Linked DNA regions of Xenopus tropicalis. The protein of the gene in region 1 purifies or fractionates together with the protein of each later gene. This does not show direct contact. Links are inferred from orthologs where the notes say so. Each region holds a gene or a part of one and is shown on either strand. Other genes may lie near its edges.

Region 1 (8,465 bases):
GGGGGGATTTGGGGTGAGTGCTTATTTGTGCCCTGGGTACCCCTGGAACTATAGCAGGGTGACTGTTACCCCAATGTTTCTATATATCTGTAACCTTGTTATGGGCTAAGGGGGCCCAGCCTGAAGGCCAGTTAGGGGGGATTTGGGGTGAGTGCTTATTTGTGCCCTGGGTACCCCTGGAACTATAGCAGGGTGACTGTTACCCCAATGTTTCTATATATCTGTAACCTTGTTATGGGCTAAGGGGGCCCAGCCTGAAGGCCAGTTAGGGGGGGATTTGGGGTGAGTGCTTATTTGTGCCCTGGGTACCCCTGGAACTATAGCGGGGTGACTGTTACCCCAATGTTTCTATATATCTGTAACCTTGTTATGGGCTAAGGGGGCCCAGCCTGAAGGCCAGTTAGGGGGGGATTTGCGGTGAGTGCTTATTTGTGCCCTGGGTACCCCTGGAACTATAGCAGGGTGACTGTTACCCCAATGTTTCTATATATCTGTAACCTTGTTATGGGCTAAGGGGGCCCAGCCTGAAGGCCAGTTAGGGGGGGATTTGGGGTGAGTGCTTATTTGTGCCCTGGGTACCCCTGGAACTATAGCAGGGTGACTGTTACCCCAATGTTTCTATATATCTGTAACCTTGTTATGGGCTAAGGGGGCCCAGCCTGAAGGCCAGTTAGGGGGGATTTGGGGTGAGTGCTTATTTGTGCCCTGGGTACCCCTGGAACTATAGCAGGGTGACTGTTACCCCAATGTTTCTATATATCTGTAACCTTGTTATGGGCTAAGGGGGCCCAGCCTGAAGGCCAGTTAGGGGGGGGATTTGGGGTGAGTGCTTATTTGTGCCCTGGGTACCCCTGGAACTATAGCAGGGTGACTGTTACCCCAATGTTTCTATATATCTGTAACCTTGTTATGGGCTAAGGGGGCCCAGCCTGAAGGCCAGTTAGGGGGGAATTTGGGGTGAGTGCTTATTTGTGCCCTGGGTACCCCTGGAACTATAGCAGGGTGACTGTTACCCCAATGTTTCTATATATCTGTAACCTTGTTATGGGCTAAGGGGGCCCAGCCTGAAGGCCAGTTAGGGGGGGATTTGGGGTAAGGGCTTATTTGTGCCCTGGGTACCCCTGGAACTATAGCAGGGTGACTGTTACCCCAATGTTTCTATATATCTGTAACCTTGTTATGGGCTAAGGGGGCCCAGCCTGAAGGCCAGTTAGGGGGGGATTTGGGGTGAGTGCTTATTTGTGCCCTGGGTACCCCTGGAACTATAGCGGGGTGACTGTTACCCCAATGTTTCTATATATCTGTAACCTTGTTATGGGCTAAGGGGGCCCAGCCTGAAGGCCAGTTAGGGGGGGATTTGCGGTGAGTGCTTATTTGTGCCCTGGGTACCCCTGGAACTATAGCAGGGTGACTGTTACCCCAATGTTTCTATATATCTGTAACCTTGTTATGGGCTAAGGGGGCCCAGCCTGAAGGCCAGTTAGGGGGGGATTTGGGGTGAGTGCTTATTTGTGCCCTGGGTACCCCTGGAACTATAGCAGGGTGACTGTTACCCCAATGTTTCTATATATCTGTAACCTTGTTATGGGCTAAGGGGGCCCAGCCTGAAGGCCAGTTAGGGGGGGATTTGGGGTGAGTGCTTATTTGTGCCCTGGGTACCCCTGGAACTATAGCAGGGTGACTGTTACCCCAATGTTTCTATATATCTGTAACCTTGTTATGGGCTAAGGGGGCCCAGCCTGAAGGCCAGTTAGGGGGGGATTTGGGGTGAGTGCTTATTTGTGCCCTGGGTACCCCTGGAACTATAGCAGGGTGACTGTTACCCCAATGTTTCTATATATCTGTAACCTTGTTATGGGCTAAGGGGGCCCAGCCTGAAGGCCAGTTAGGGGGGGATTTGGGGTGAGTGCTTATTTGTGCCCTGGGTACCCCTGGAACTATAGCAGGGTGACTGTTACCCCAATGTTTCTATATATCTGTAACCTTGTTATGGGCTAAGGGGGCCCAGCCTGAAGGCCAGTTAGGGGGGGGATTTGGGGTGAGTGCTTATTTGTGCCCTGGGTACCCCTGGAACTATAGCAGGGTGACTGTTACCCCAATGTTTCTATATATCTGTAACCTTGTTATGGGCTAAGGGGGCCCAGCCTGAAGGCCAGTTAGGGGGGAATTTGGGGTGAGTGCTTATTTGTGCCCTGGGTACCCCTGGAACTATAGCAGGGTGACTGTTACCCCAATGTTTCTATATATCTGTAACCTTGTTATGGGCTAAGGGGGCCCAGCCTGAAGGCCAGTTAGGGGGGATTTGGGGTAAGGGCTTATTTGTGCCCTGGGTACCCCTGGAACTATAGCAGGGTGACTGTTACCCCAATGTTTCTATATATCTGTAACCTTGTTATGGGCTAAGGGGGCCCAGCCTGAAGGCCAGTTAGGGGAGGATTTGGGGTGAGTGCTTATTTGTGCCCTGGGTACCCCTGGAACTATAGCGGGGTGACTGTTACCCCAATGTTTCTATATATCTGTAACCTTGTTATGGGCTAAGGGGGCCCAGCTTGAAGGCCAGTTAGGGGGGATTTGGGGTGAGTGCTTATTTGTGCCTGGGTACCCCTGGAACTATAGCGGGGTGACTGTTACCCCAATGTTTCTATATATCTGTAACCTTGTTATGGGCTAAGGGGGCCCAGCCTGAAGGCCAGTAAGGGGGGGATTTGGGGTGAGTGCTTATTTGTGCCTGGGTACCCCTGGAACTATAGCGGGGTGACTGTTACCCCAATGTTTCTATATACCTGTAACCTTGTTATGGGCTAAGGGGGCCCAGCCTGAAGGCCAGTTAGGGGGGGATTTGGGGTGAGTGCTTATTTGTGCCCTGGGTACCCCTGGAACTATAGCAGGGTGACTGTTACCCCAATGTTTCTATATATCTGTAACCTTGTTATGGGCTAAGGGGGCCCAGCCTGAAGGCCAGTTAGGGGGGGATTTGGGGTGAGTGCTTATTTGTGCCCTGGGTACCCCTGGAACTATAGCAGGGTGACTGTTACCCCAATGTTTCTATATATCTGTAACCTTGTTATGGGCTAAGGGGGCCCAGCCTGAAGGCCAGTTAGGGGGGGATTTGGGGTGAGTGCTTATTTGTACCCTGGGTACCCCTGGAACTATAGCAGGGTGACTGTTACCCCAATGTTTCTATATATCTGTAACCTTGTTATGGGCTAAGGGGGCCCAGCCTGAAGGCCAGTTAGGGGGGGATTTGGGGTGAGTGCTTATTTGTGCCCTGGGTACCCCTGGAACTATAGCAGGGTGACAGTTACCCCAATGTTTCTATATATCTGTAACCTTGTTATGGGCTAAGGGGGCCCAGCCTGAAGGCCAGTTAGGGGGGGATTTGGGGTAAGGGCTTATTTGTGCCCTGGGTACCCCTGGAACTATAGCAGGGTGACTGTTACCCCAATGTTTCTATATATCTGTAACCTTGTTATGGGCTAAGGGGGCCCAGCCTGAAGGCCAGTTAGGGGGAGATTTGGGGTGAGTGCTTATTTGTGCCCTGGGTACCCCTGGAACTATAGCAGGGTGACTGTTACCCCACTGTTTCTATATATCTGTAACCTTGTTATGGGCTAAGGGGGCCCAGCCTGAAGGCCAGTTAGGGGGGGATTTGGGGTGAGTGCTTATTTGTGCCCTGGGTACCCCTGGAACTATAGCAGGGTGACAGTTACCCCAATGTTTCTATATATCTGTAACCTTGTTATGGGCTAAGGGGGCCCAGCCTGAAGGCCAGTTAGGGGGGGATTTGGGGTAAGGGCTTATTTGTGCCCTGGGTACCCCTGGAACTATAGCAGGGTAACTGTTACCCCAATGTTTCTATATATCTGTAACCTTGTTATGGGCTAAGGGGGCCCAGCCTGAAGGCCAGTTAGGGGGAGATTTGGGGTGAGTGCTTATTTGTGCCCTGGGTACCCCTGGAACTATAGCAGGGTGACTGTTACCCCACTGTTTCTATATATCTGTAACCTTGTTATGGGCTAAGGGGGCCCAGCCTGAAGGCCAGTTAGGGGGAGATTTGGGGTGAGTGCTTATTTGTGCCCTGGGTACCCCTGGAACTATAGCAGGGTGACTGTTACCCCACTGTTTCTATATATCTGTAACCTTGTTATGGGCTAAGGGGGCCCAGCCTGAAGGCCAGTTAGGGGGGGATTTGGGGTGAGTGCTTATTTGTGCCCTGGGTACCCCTGGAACTATAGCAGGGTGACTGTTACCCCAATGTTTCTATATATCTGTAACCTTGTTATGGGCTAAGGGGGCCCAGCTTGAAGGCCAGTTAGGGGGGATTTGGGGTGAGTGCTTATTTGTGCCTGGGTACCCCTGGAACTATAGCGGGGTGACTGTTACCCCAATGTTTCTATATATCTGTAACCTTGTTATGGGCTAAGGGGGCCCAGCCTGAAGGCCAGTTAGGGGGGGATTTGGGGTGAGTGCTTATTTGTGCCCTGGGTACCCCTGGAACTATAGCAGGGTGACTGTTACCCCAATGTTTCTATATATCTGTAACCTTGTTATGGGCTAAGGGGGCCCAGCCTGAAGGCCAGTTAGGGGGGGATTTGGGGTGAGTGCTTATTTGTGCCCTGGGTACCCCTGGAACTATAGCAGGGTGACTGTTACCCCAATGTTTCTATATATCTGTAACCTTGTTATGGGCTAAGGGGGCCCAGCCTGAAGGCCAGTTAGGGGGAGATTTGGGGTGAGTGCTTATTTGTGCCCTGGGTACCCCTGGAACTATAGCAGGGTGACTGTTACCCCAATGTTTCTATATATCTGTAACCTTGTTATGGGCTAAGGGGGCCCAGCCTGAAGGCCAGTTAGGGGGGATTTGGGGTGAGTGCTTATTTGTGCCCTGGGTACCCCTGGAACTATAGCAGGGTGACTGTTACCCCAATGTTTCTATATATCTGTAACCTTGTTATGGGCTAAGGGGGCCCAGCCTGAAGGCCAGTTAGGGGGGATTTGGGGTGAGTGCTTATTTGTGCCCTGGGTACCCCTGGAACTATAGCAGGGTGACTGTTACCCCAATGTTTCTATATATCTGTAACCTTGTTATGGGCTAAGGGGGCCCAGCCTGAAGGCCAGTTAGGGGGGGATTTGGGGTGAGTGCTTATTTGTACCCTGGGTACCCCTGGAACTATAGCAGGGTGACTGTTACCCCAATGTTTCTATATATCTGTAACCTTGTTATGGGCTAAGGGGGCCCAGCCTGGGGATTTTATCCCCCTTTGGATAAACTCGTAGTTACACCAGATATTCCTGGGCAGTAGGTTAAACTTGAGAGGCTACTAACCTTTACAACTGTTATGCAGCTATGTGAATAACTAATAGGGCAGAATGACAACAAAACAAGGGAGACTGCATAAGATTTTCCACAAAAGCAAAAATCCTCTATACCGAATGTACCTCAGCAGAAACCATCTCAGTACTTGACAAGACACTGAGGTAAACCCTTCATTACACCCACAGACCAACACAACCAATAGAACTTCTCTCTTTTCGCTTACTGTAAACCGAGGCTTGACACGCATAATGCAAGTGTCTTCACTTCCGGACTTTCAGCCAATCAGCGCTACAGAGCTGGCTGCATGGGCTAAACCATTTTGCATGGCACAAACTCTGAGCAGGGTGCTGAGCGAGTTGTTGGGGTGTAAGGAGTTCCATAACCAGGGGGATCCCGGTACCAGTGTTCTGCCCGGCCATGTTAGCTCAACGGTTTCTTCCGTGCTGCTTGTCGGCCCCCCCGGCTGTGGGAAGAGCGGGCTCCTGTTTAGCGCCGCCCTTGTGGCCGCGGAGGAGGGTGCGGGGCCGGTAATATTTATATCCCGGGAGTCCCTGCAGCGGCTGCCCGGGGGTGGGAGGGAAGCCAGAGAGCCGCTCCTACTCAAGGTGATTCTATAGGGAAGGAGGTTTATATGGGGGGGCAGAGAGACAGGGTGTGGCTACCAGGGAAGGGCTGGGGGGCGGGGCAGAGAGACAGGGTGTGGCTACCAGGGAAGGGCTGGGGGGCCATGAGTGCAGGGCAGTAGTTTGTATTGGGCCATATTATGGGGGGACTGGGAACAGCTGTGAGGTGGGTTCTGACTCCGCGGGGTTGGGGCAAATGGGATGAGTGATTTATAGAGCCTTAAGCTGGCCATACACGGGCAGATCCTGCAGGTGCCCCAGCCGCGTCCCCTAACCCCCCCCCCAGGGGCCCCCCTAACCCCCCCCCGCAGGGCCCCCGCCTGACGTCCTCCCCGAGCGTGTATAAATTGAACGCGTCGGGGAGGAACAGTCAGTAGGGGGAGCGCCGGCAAAGGTCGGACTGGGCCGCTGGGGCCCACCGGGATTTTTCCCGGTGTCCCGGCGGCCCAGTCCGACCCTGGGCAGATCCGCTCGCTTGGCGATGTCGCCAAGCGAGCGGATCTGCACCCGATATCCCCACCTACGGGTGGCGATATCGGGGAGGCATGTAGGTGAATTCGATCGTTTGGCCCTGGGGCCAAACTATGGAATTCTGCACGCGGCAATGGGGCAGTCGGTTCGGGGACCACATCAACGAGCCGATGCGGTCCCCAATCCGACGGGATTTTCTAACCTGGCCGATCAATATCTGGCCAATTTCAGGCCAGATATCGGTCGGCCAGCCCGCTCGTTTATGCCCCTACACGGGCCGATAAGCTGTCGAGTCGGTCCAAGGGACCCATATCTGCAGCTACAATCTGCCCGTGTATGGGGACCTTTAGGGGAAGGACATATTATGAGGGGACAGATAATAGAGCAAAGTGCCAGGGAAGAATGTTAGTTTAGGGCAGGGATCCCCAACCTTTCTTACTCCTGAGGCATGGGTCATATGTAAAAAGACTTGGGGAGCAACACAAGCACCATAACAGTTCATGGAGGAGCCAAATAAGGGCTGTGATTGGCTATTAGGGGCCTCTATGCACCCTATCAGCTTACAGGGGCTTTATTTGGTAGCAAATCTTGTTTTTATTCAACAAAAACTTGCCCCCAAGTCAGGAATTCAAACATAACTCCCTGGTTTGGGGGCACTGAGAGCAACATCCAAGGGGTTGGGGAGCAACATGTTGCCCCTGAGCCACTGGTTGGGGATCCCTGCTCATGAGTGTATCCAGATGGATTTGCATAGCTTTGGTTGGCATGTCGTACTTGTAGTTATTTTTTTCAGCTATTGTTCTGTAGCAGTTTTTGATCTTAGTAATTTTTTTTCTTTTTAGCGAATCCGGTTTCTGTATCCTTCTTCTCTCAGGGAGCTTCTGCACCTTGTCTCGTCCATGCACCTCTCCTTCCCAGCTCCTTCTCTAATTGTGGTGGATGGACTGGAACGCTACCTCGCTCCGACCTGTGGCTCTGCTGATGGGGCTCTTATTTCAGGCCTTTTGCTAGACTCTGCTGCACACTTTAAGTGCGGCCTCCTGATATCTGCAGCACAACCTCTGGAGATGGGTGGAGATGGAGCATTCCTGGCCGTGGAGCGATATTTTCCAGCCCAGTGCCATATCTATGGCGAGGTGACAACTGAGCAGGAAGAGGGCACCTTTCACATAAGCTTCCCTTCCCATTTCCCACCTTGTGTCCTGCACACAGCAAAGGATGGTACTCTGAAAATATCACTTCCGAAAGCTTCATTTTCGTGACGGGATCGAATGTGAAAACTTACCACCTCATACTAAAATGTGTGTAGATCAGGGGTGCCAAGACTTTTTTCCGCGGCGATCGACTTTTGACTCCTCCCCGCGTACATACACATACCCAATAAACACGCGGAACCGCCGCACTTCCGCATTTCCCGGCTTCGACGCGGTCCACCAGAAATCCACAGGGGATCGACTGGTGGACCGCGATCAACATTTTGGCCACACCTGGTGTAGATGATAAATTCTTTCATGTTTCATGTATAGTGTTGATGCTTTTGCAACTTTTCAGAAAACATTGTTTAATGTAAATATTGTCAAAAAATAAAAAAATTTAACAACTTGACTACTGTGCAGTGATATTGGTATTTAAGCTGACTGGATATTGCAGTGGTTAGTACTATAATACTTCATGGACACCCAATTATTTTCACAGGAGATATTTGTAGTATTAAGTTTGGGTTGGTTTCACTATTCAACGCGAGGCATTTTCGGCGATTTGCCGAAATCGCGCCGCCGCGTGTGCCATCCCACCGGCAACTTACATTTTCGCCGGTGGGATGGCAACGGATGGCAACTTGGGGAAATAAGTCGCCCGCGAACAGGGAGATTTGTCGCAGGCGACTAATCTCCCCGTGTGCCAGAGCCCTTAAAGGTAATAGATCAGCCCCATTGTGTAAACTGTAAAGGCGCCCCCCCCATAGGGGGACACCTTTACAAGCACACTAATCAGCTCTGATAAGTCACTTGACAAAATAGTGATAAAAGCAAGCATTTTATTGGTTGTCCTGAGGC
Region 2 (7,684 bases), on another chromosome or scaffold:
ATAAGCACAGGGTGAAAGTACGTTATATTTTCATAACTGTAAAATACTTTTATTTTTTGGTGTTCCTTTAAGTATAAAATAAAGAGCAACAAATGTAGTTGTGAGAAGTCAGTTAAATGTTCACAATGTTTACTAGTAGTTAGTGTGTCCACAAAAGAGTTTATTATAAAAAATACAAAAAGAAAAATCAGTGATCATAGTTTTCAGATGTCTTGGCATGTCCGGAATCCCGTTATCCAGAATGCTCTGAATTATGGGAAGGCCGTCTGCCATAGACTATTTTAATCAAATAATTCATATTTTAAAATTGATTTTCTCCTTCTCTGTAATAATAAAACAGTACCTTGTACCTAATCCTAACTAAGATATAATGAACAAAACAATCCTAATGGTTTTTTTTAATGTTTTAATGATTTTTAGACTTAAGGTATGGAGATCCAAATTTTCAAGTTTTAATTTCAGGTGTCAGTATCTCCTTAAGGGCAGTGTCAAATGTTTTAAATGCTGCAATAAAGCCCCCCCCCCCCACCCCTTCCCAGTAGACTATCACTGAAATCTCCTGGCTGAAGGATCAATCATTATGATAGTTAATAAAGACATCTGTAAGCCTCTCTAAAGCTGGCGATACACGCACCGATAATATCGTACGAAACCTCATTTCGTACCATATTCGGTGCGCGTATGGCAACTCTGCGAGGCGACCGATATTGCAGGAGGCTGCTAATATCGGTCGACTCGCTGATTGGGCGCCATAGAAGGCGCCTGAGCAAAATCTGCCTTCAGGGCTGAATTGGCAGAAGGAGGTAGAAATCCTATTGTTTCTACCTCCATATCTGATGTTTCAGCCCTGAACGTCAGTGGTGGATTGGAACGATGGTCGCACAAAAGTTCGAAAATCGCCACGTGCGTAGCCACCTTAAGTTTTCCTGAAAGTCCCTGGGGTCCCAAATCAGATAAAGTAACCATGACTTATTAGATAGCATCTATTGTGCTGTAAATGTATTGTTCTATATGTAGAGTGTAAAGAGCTAATCTGTTTAATTGAATATTATGATGCAACCAAATTGACTCTTGCAGAAATAGGTGCTGGAAAGTCCTACTAAATGTGTGATGAGCACTAATGCTACAAACGCTGCTTTAATTTTGCATTCTATGTCTCTTACTCTCTTGTGTTCTCCTATCCTGTAGGCAGCAGCTTCATCGGAAAGAACTACTCTGCTTGGCAAGCCCATAGCACACACCCCTGTTTATGATGAAGGTAAATAGTACTGTTCTGACCTCATGCTTGTATGAATTATGTATGAATTATGTAAAACTGCTTGTAACATGTGTGGCCATAAAAAAGTGCTTAAACCCTTAACCGTAAATAGAATATATCACTAGCCTGACTCATTGTTAAATGGGTCAGACGTGTCCTTCTGTCATATGGAATGTTTTGTGCTATATATAGTATTTTCTCTCCACTGTCAGCTTGTAAACATTAATTTGTCTGAGAAGTGATCTACCCCAGGAAATAAGCCAGATTGGGGAATTTTAATGATGATATGTTTGGAATAAGTTGCCTGTAATATTGGTATGTTAACAGGATGGGTGAGTGGGTGATTTGGAGGTTGATTTGATCACGTATGTAGTGGGGGAAATGAGGGAAGATTTGATTGCTTTTTTCACCAGGCACTTATTGGATCACAGAGGACAATACTTTTGGTCACGATTGAGCAAATACTGAATGCAAGGTATTTTGCTCTTTACAACCAAAAAATTCAGGTTCCAAATAAGGATAATAATGCTCAGACTTACCAGTCAAATGCTCTAATACAGTAACCTATAGCAACCAGCAATCAGATGTTTACTGTTTTTTTTTCTTTTTTAATATTGGATACATGTTTTCATGTAATACTACTTTATCACAGTATCTGAGTTACAGGTTATGGTTGGGCGACTCTTCCCCATCCAACCCATAATTTTTTTTCACAACTTCTGAGTGTTCTACAGACAGATAAGCTTTCTCTCTGGTCTTCCTCCTTACACTTAAGTCTAATGCCACACGAGGCGTAGGGCGGATATTTTTGGCAAGCGTAAAAGCACTTGCTGAAAATTCCGCCCTACGCCTCCTACATGTGCCTGCACCCAAATGAATGAGATACACTCGGGTGCAGGCACATGTAGCCGATATACACATGAAAACGCGAGACTTTGCATTATCTTGCGTTTTCACACTTTTACGCTTGCCAAAAATATCTGCCCATGCCTCGTGTGGCATTAGCCTAAGATAAAAGGCTAACTTGGAACAGCTGCATGGAGCAGCCATAACGCTGTAGTAAGTGCTTTGCTTAAGACTAGTGCTACACTGGGCGGATTCTTGGCCTGAGAATCCGTCCCTGGGCTTAAAAAATCTGATAGTTGTGGCTGCACCCGGAGCCATTGCCTCGGCCCGGGTGCAGCCACACTTAGCGGAATTTGCCACAAAACTTAAGTGAGCAGTGTCATGCTGAATTTTGGCCAAGTAGCCACCCAGTGTGGCATTAGCCCAAGCAAGCAACATTTCCTGTCATTCATTATTTTACTTATTTGTCATGTTTTATAATCCTGTACATACAAATATTTGCCTTGAATGTTTCCTGCTCCAGATTGTAACGATAACAATCCTGCACGTATTGTGTGGAGCTCCAGTGACAGTGAGTTATCAAACGATGGAAGTAAAGAATTTAATTCCCGACTTGGATTTGCTAGTCGATCCTCTCGCAATAAGGGAAAATCATACTCCATGGATTTGTCTGCCTCTATGAAGCAATTTAATGGTAAGTTTTACAGAAGAGTGAAATGAAGCCACTTAATGCTTGGCCTTTGTGAGGGAGGTAATTACACTACCAGTGCATATACAGTGGTGTGAAAAACTATTTGCCCCCTTCCTGATTTCTTATTCTTTTGCATGTTTGTCACACTTAAATGTTTCTGCTCATCAAAAACCGTTAACTATTAGTCAAAGATAACATAATTGAACACAAAATGCAGTTTTTAAATGAAGGTTTACGTTATTAAGGGAGAAAAAAAACTCCAAATCTACATGGCCCTGTGTGAAAAAGTGATTGCCCCCCTTGTTAAAAAATAACTTAACTGTGGTTTATCAATTCAATGTTCAATTTCTGTAGTCACCCCCAGGCCTGATTACTGCCACACCTGTTTCAATCAAAAAATCACTTAAATAGGAGCTACCTGACACAGAGAAGTAGACCAAAAGCACCTCAAAAGCTAGACATCATGCCAAGATCCAAAGAAATTCAGGAACAAATGAGAACAAAAGTAATTGAGATCTATCAGTCTGGTAAAGGTTATAAAGCCATTTCTAAAGCTTTGGGACTCCAGCGAACCACAGTGAGAGCCATAATCCACAAATGGCAAAAACATGGAACAGTGGTGAACCTTCCCAGGAGTGGCCGGCCGACCAAAATTACCCCAAGAGCGCAGAGACAACTCATCCGAGAGACCACAAAAGACCCCAGGACAACATCTAAAGAACTGCAGGCCTCACTTGCCTCAATTAAGGTCAGTGTTCACGACTCCACCATAAGAAAGAGACTGGGCAAAAACGGCCTGCATGGCAGATTTCCATTTAAGCAAAAAGAACATTATGGCTCGTCTCAATTTTGCTAAAAAACATCTCAATGATTGCCAAGACTTTTGGGAAAATACCTTGTGGACTGACGAGACAAAAGTTGAACTTTTTGGAAGGTGCGTGTCCCGTTACATCTGGCGTAAAAGTAACACAGCATTTCAGAAAAAGAACATCATACCAACAGTAAAATATGGTGGTGGTAGTGTGATTGTCTGGGGTTGTTTTGCTGCTTCAGGACCTGGAAGGCTTGCTGTGATAGATGGAACCATGAATTCTACTGTCTACCAAAAAATTCTGAAGGAGAATGTCCGGCCATCTGTTTGTCAACTCAAGCTGAAGCGATCTTGGGTGCTGCAGCAGGACAATGACCCAAAACACACCAGAATAATCCTCCTTTTGCAGTAAAAACAAAGGGAGAAGGAAGGGAGTTGTGTATTGGTAATGTAATCACCCACCTCTCAAGGACTAAACATGAAGTTATTTCTATTTACTTGTTTAGCTCAAAAACTAACAACAAATGAGGTTATTGAAATCATTATCCAATTTTTAGAACATAAATATTTACAAATAAAATTGTAAACAGTTACTAATTATCTGCAATAATAACTGCCCTCCAAAAAATCAATAGAGCTGGATCACTTTTCTTTAAATTTTTTGAAATGTTCACAATTTCACCCATGATGGTATCCATTAAAAAATATCTACTGAAGTCTTCTTGCCATGGCAAAATTGATGCCATTGATTACATTTGTGAATTTACAGTAGAGTAATAATTACACTATTAATAGTTAATCATAAGTTTTAAAAAGTCATAAAATGATCTCAATTGCAGTATTTTTGGACCAACAAACGCTGCAAGGTTTATAGCAGAAAATGGAGTTGACCTTATTTGGTCTAAATACTAAAAATACTTTATACACCTCTAGAAATGGTTTATGCACCCCAGGGCCTGTGTTTAACAAACTGCAGTTATAATGAACACCAGCATGATGATTCAAAGCCAATACTGAAGTATGCAGATACCTGGAGAGTCAGTAAACTGAATTTAAGGTGCTCTTTTAGATGATGTCCCTGAGATCACTGGCTGGCAATATGAGTGTGATTCTGAAGAGGAAAAGAGGACATTTTCAGATGCAGCTGAAAGTGCTGTAGAAATATCTGATCCTGAGTCCTTATCCAGCAAAGCTACTGAATCCCAGCTACTGAAAGGGGCTGAATCTTCTAAAGTATGTAAATCTCTGGTATTGTTTAATAGTGCTTTTTTTTTTTTTTTTTTTTAAGAAAAATTATCTTATAGCAGGTTATATTTTAGATTTCCAGTAGAGGGCAGCAATGTTACATAGAAATTGTAAATGCTTGTGTATTTCATTTTTCTTTTCTTGGTGTAATGGTGCTCTGCAAATGTACTGTTGCTGGTAAATGCCTCTAATGTTTATGCGCTGGTGCAGGACTCGTGCATTTTCTTGGAGCAATGGTAATGGTCAAATTTTAATCATTTTAAGGGATCCAAACCCAAAAGATATGATGTAAACTTACTCGGAGTGCTTCTCTGAGCACTTTTGCAATTTACATTCATTTTCTATTTTTAGCAGTTTCTGAGATTTTTTAATTACTAATACCAGGCTTTTGGCTCAGCAACACTAATGGGTTAGGAGTGCATAGAAAGTACATAGACAGTTAGGGTTGCTGACAATATGGCCTTCAAAGAGAGCTGTTAAGCTGAAAGCCTTTTATTAGCAGTCTAAAATGTTCTAAGACTGCTAATATTTCACAAACCACTAAAAATATAAAATGTTTGTAAACTATAAAAGTACTCAGAGGAGTTACATTCAGTAAGTGTACATTGCATGTTTTGTGTTAGATCCCCTTTCATTTCTCGCATTAGTCTTATTAAATGTTTGTGCTTCGTATTATGTAAAATAGTAATTAACAAAATATAGTACCATATACTGTGTACCATAGCCAGTAAAATATCAGACAGTTCGTTCATACATGTTCTTTGATTTAGTGGAATAAGTTTAATGAGAGCCAAGTAGCAGTAGCACGCGTAATTCAGCAGAGCTTGGTGCGATTGATGGTGCAAATTGGCTCCCAAGGAGTATGTTTTTGCCGTATGCTTCTCGAGTGTGGGAGGAAACAGACACAGGGAAAACATACAAACTCCTTGCAGATAGTGCAAGGCAGTGCTGCCTAATACTTAATTGGGCTAGTCATTTTATAGTAAAAAAATTTAGTAGTTTATTTAAATGAGGTAGAAAAGTTGAACCATACTGGATGGGGTGGGAGGCCTTAAGAGTAGATGAAAGATCTGGCACATCCCCATAAAAGTAACTGCAAAGTCCCTCCAAAAATGTCTTCTTAATAGTGGTCTGTTAGAAATCTGCTAAACTTGACACTAGTGTGTGTGAATATGATAGGGACCTAAATTATAAGCTCCGTTTGGGCAGGACCAATGTAATGGATGCCACTATAAAATTTTTGTAGGGTAATCTGGTAAAGAAAAAGCAGCAGCTCAAAGATTCAGCTCATCAGGTTCACAATCAGAATAAGAATCAGTAGGGAGAATGGTGGGATATGTAAAGAAAGTTGTGGAAATATATCATCACTATTATAATCACATGGCCACACAGTTAATAATTCTAGGCCAAAAGTTTAGAGCTTGATTGAGCAAGGGTTTCACTGGGTGAAAATCAAGAGCATGGGTGTATATGTGTATATGTATGTATGTGTACATGTGTGTATATATATATATATATATATATATATATATATATATATATATATAATATATACGAACCCAGGGTGGCACTCTGCTTCAGCTCTTAGCTCGGGTGCAAGGTAAATGATTTAAATATCCAAAAAAGACCAGCAACACCGAGTTATATTCCAAAAACAATCAATTGTGTATTAAAAACGCATGAACAGCCAACGTTATGTTTCGGACCTTTCTCAATGGGGACCGAAACGTAACGTTGGCTGTTCATGCGTTTTTAATACACAATTGATTGTTTTTGGAATATAACTCGGTGTTGCTGGTCTTTTTTATATATATATATAATATTGCAAAAGGCTGTTATGTATTTTAAATCCATTTAATGTCAGAATTTATACATAGTATTTGCTTAACACACAGCATTCATAATTCCCACTGTAGTTGTTGTGGCTTTCCTAGGGCAAACTTTATAGAATGCATATTTCTGAGCATTTATAAGGTGAACATTTATTCACCTTAGCTTGCAATCATCCAGTTCATGTAGTTTAAAAGATCTGTTTACAAAATTACATTTTTTCACAGTAGCTTGTAACTTTGTTGTGTTTTGTCATCTTATGACTTTGACTTTGAAGTGGTTGTATAAGGAGAATTATTGGGGAAAATATTTAAGTATATATGACCATACATCTACAGAGATGCCAATCCATAAACAAGTTGTGGTATGTACTGGTGAAGGCAATAACTGAGCAGCCCATTATAAGCACAGATTCTTTCCAGTGTCTGCACATTAAATGACCGTTATTGCATTCATAAAATTACTGCTGTTCCAGAAGGAACATTGCTTAGTTAAAACTTTAACGGCAAAGGTTGATTAAGCCAAAAATAAAAAGGAACAGTATGACTATAATAGTCAGTTTACATTTTTGTTAGCATTCTTTAGCAGGGCCCTTTGTATAATTGGTGTATACACTCTTATGTTGTAGTGAGTGATAATGGTAACTGTAATAATGGTATTAAGGCTACATTGTGGCTGAACAAGTTAATACTATTACAATTTTTGCACCTGCTACCTTGTGGGCACTGTTGCTTTTTTTAATCTTCTCAGAAGAAATCATGGAGATCAGACAGTTCTGAATTGCCAAAGAACAACTTTCCTTTGCTGTCAGTGGGAAGCACATGGCTTCAGTCATTTTCCCAGAGAATATTAAAGCAGTCAGTCCCAAGTTTGCCATTGCCCTTGAATAATATTGTAGAGAAACTGATGTATGTAGATAACCTTGTTGCAAAGCCTTGAATTCATGAACACAAGTATAAAAATGACTTTGGAAAGACTACTGAAGCAAGCAAACTGTAGAAGA

Evidence for each region. The genes of interacting proteins can lie anywhere in the genome.
Region 2: the proteins of swsap1 (region 1) and spidr purify together in Homo sapiens (co-immunoprecipitation; 3 studies listed by BioGRID and IntAct, with this or other methods). This does not show direct contact. The link is inferred for Xenopus tropicalis from reciprocal best matches to the Homo sapiens genes SWSAP1 and SPIDR.

Annotation. Positions count from the first base shown.
Region 1 is NC_030679.2:140,118,864-140,127,328, forward strand, and holds swsap1 (ATPase SWSAP1), read left to right. Parts: upstream 1-5,550; 5' UTR 5,551-5,565; coding exon 5,566-5,922; intron 5,923-7,253; coding exon 7,254-7,673; 3' UTR 7,674-8,016; downstream 8,017-8,465. UniProt on the Homo sapiens protein: ATPase which is preferentially stimulated by single-stranded DNA and is involved in homologous recombination repair (HRR). Has a DNA-binding activity which is independent of its ATPase activity.
Region 2 is NC_030682.2:112,970,491-112,978,174, forward strand, and holds part of spidr (DNA repair-scaffolding protein), read left to right. Parts: intron 1-1,188; coding exon 1,189-1,258; intron 1,259-2,627; coding exon 2,628-2,798; intron 2,799-4,675; coding exon 4,676-4,839; intron 4,840-7,684. UniProt on the Homo sapiens protein: Plays a role in DNA double-strand break (DBS) repair via homologous recombination (HR).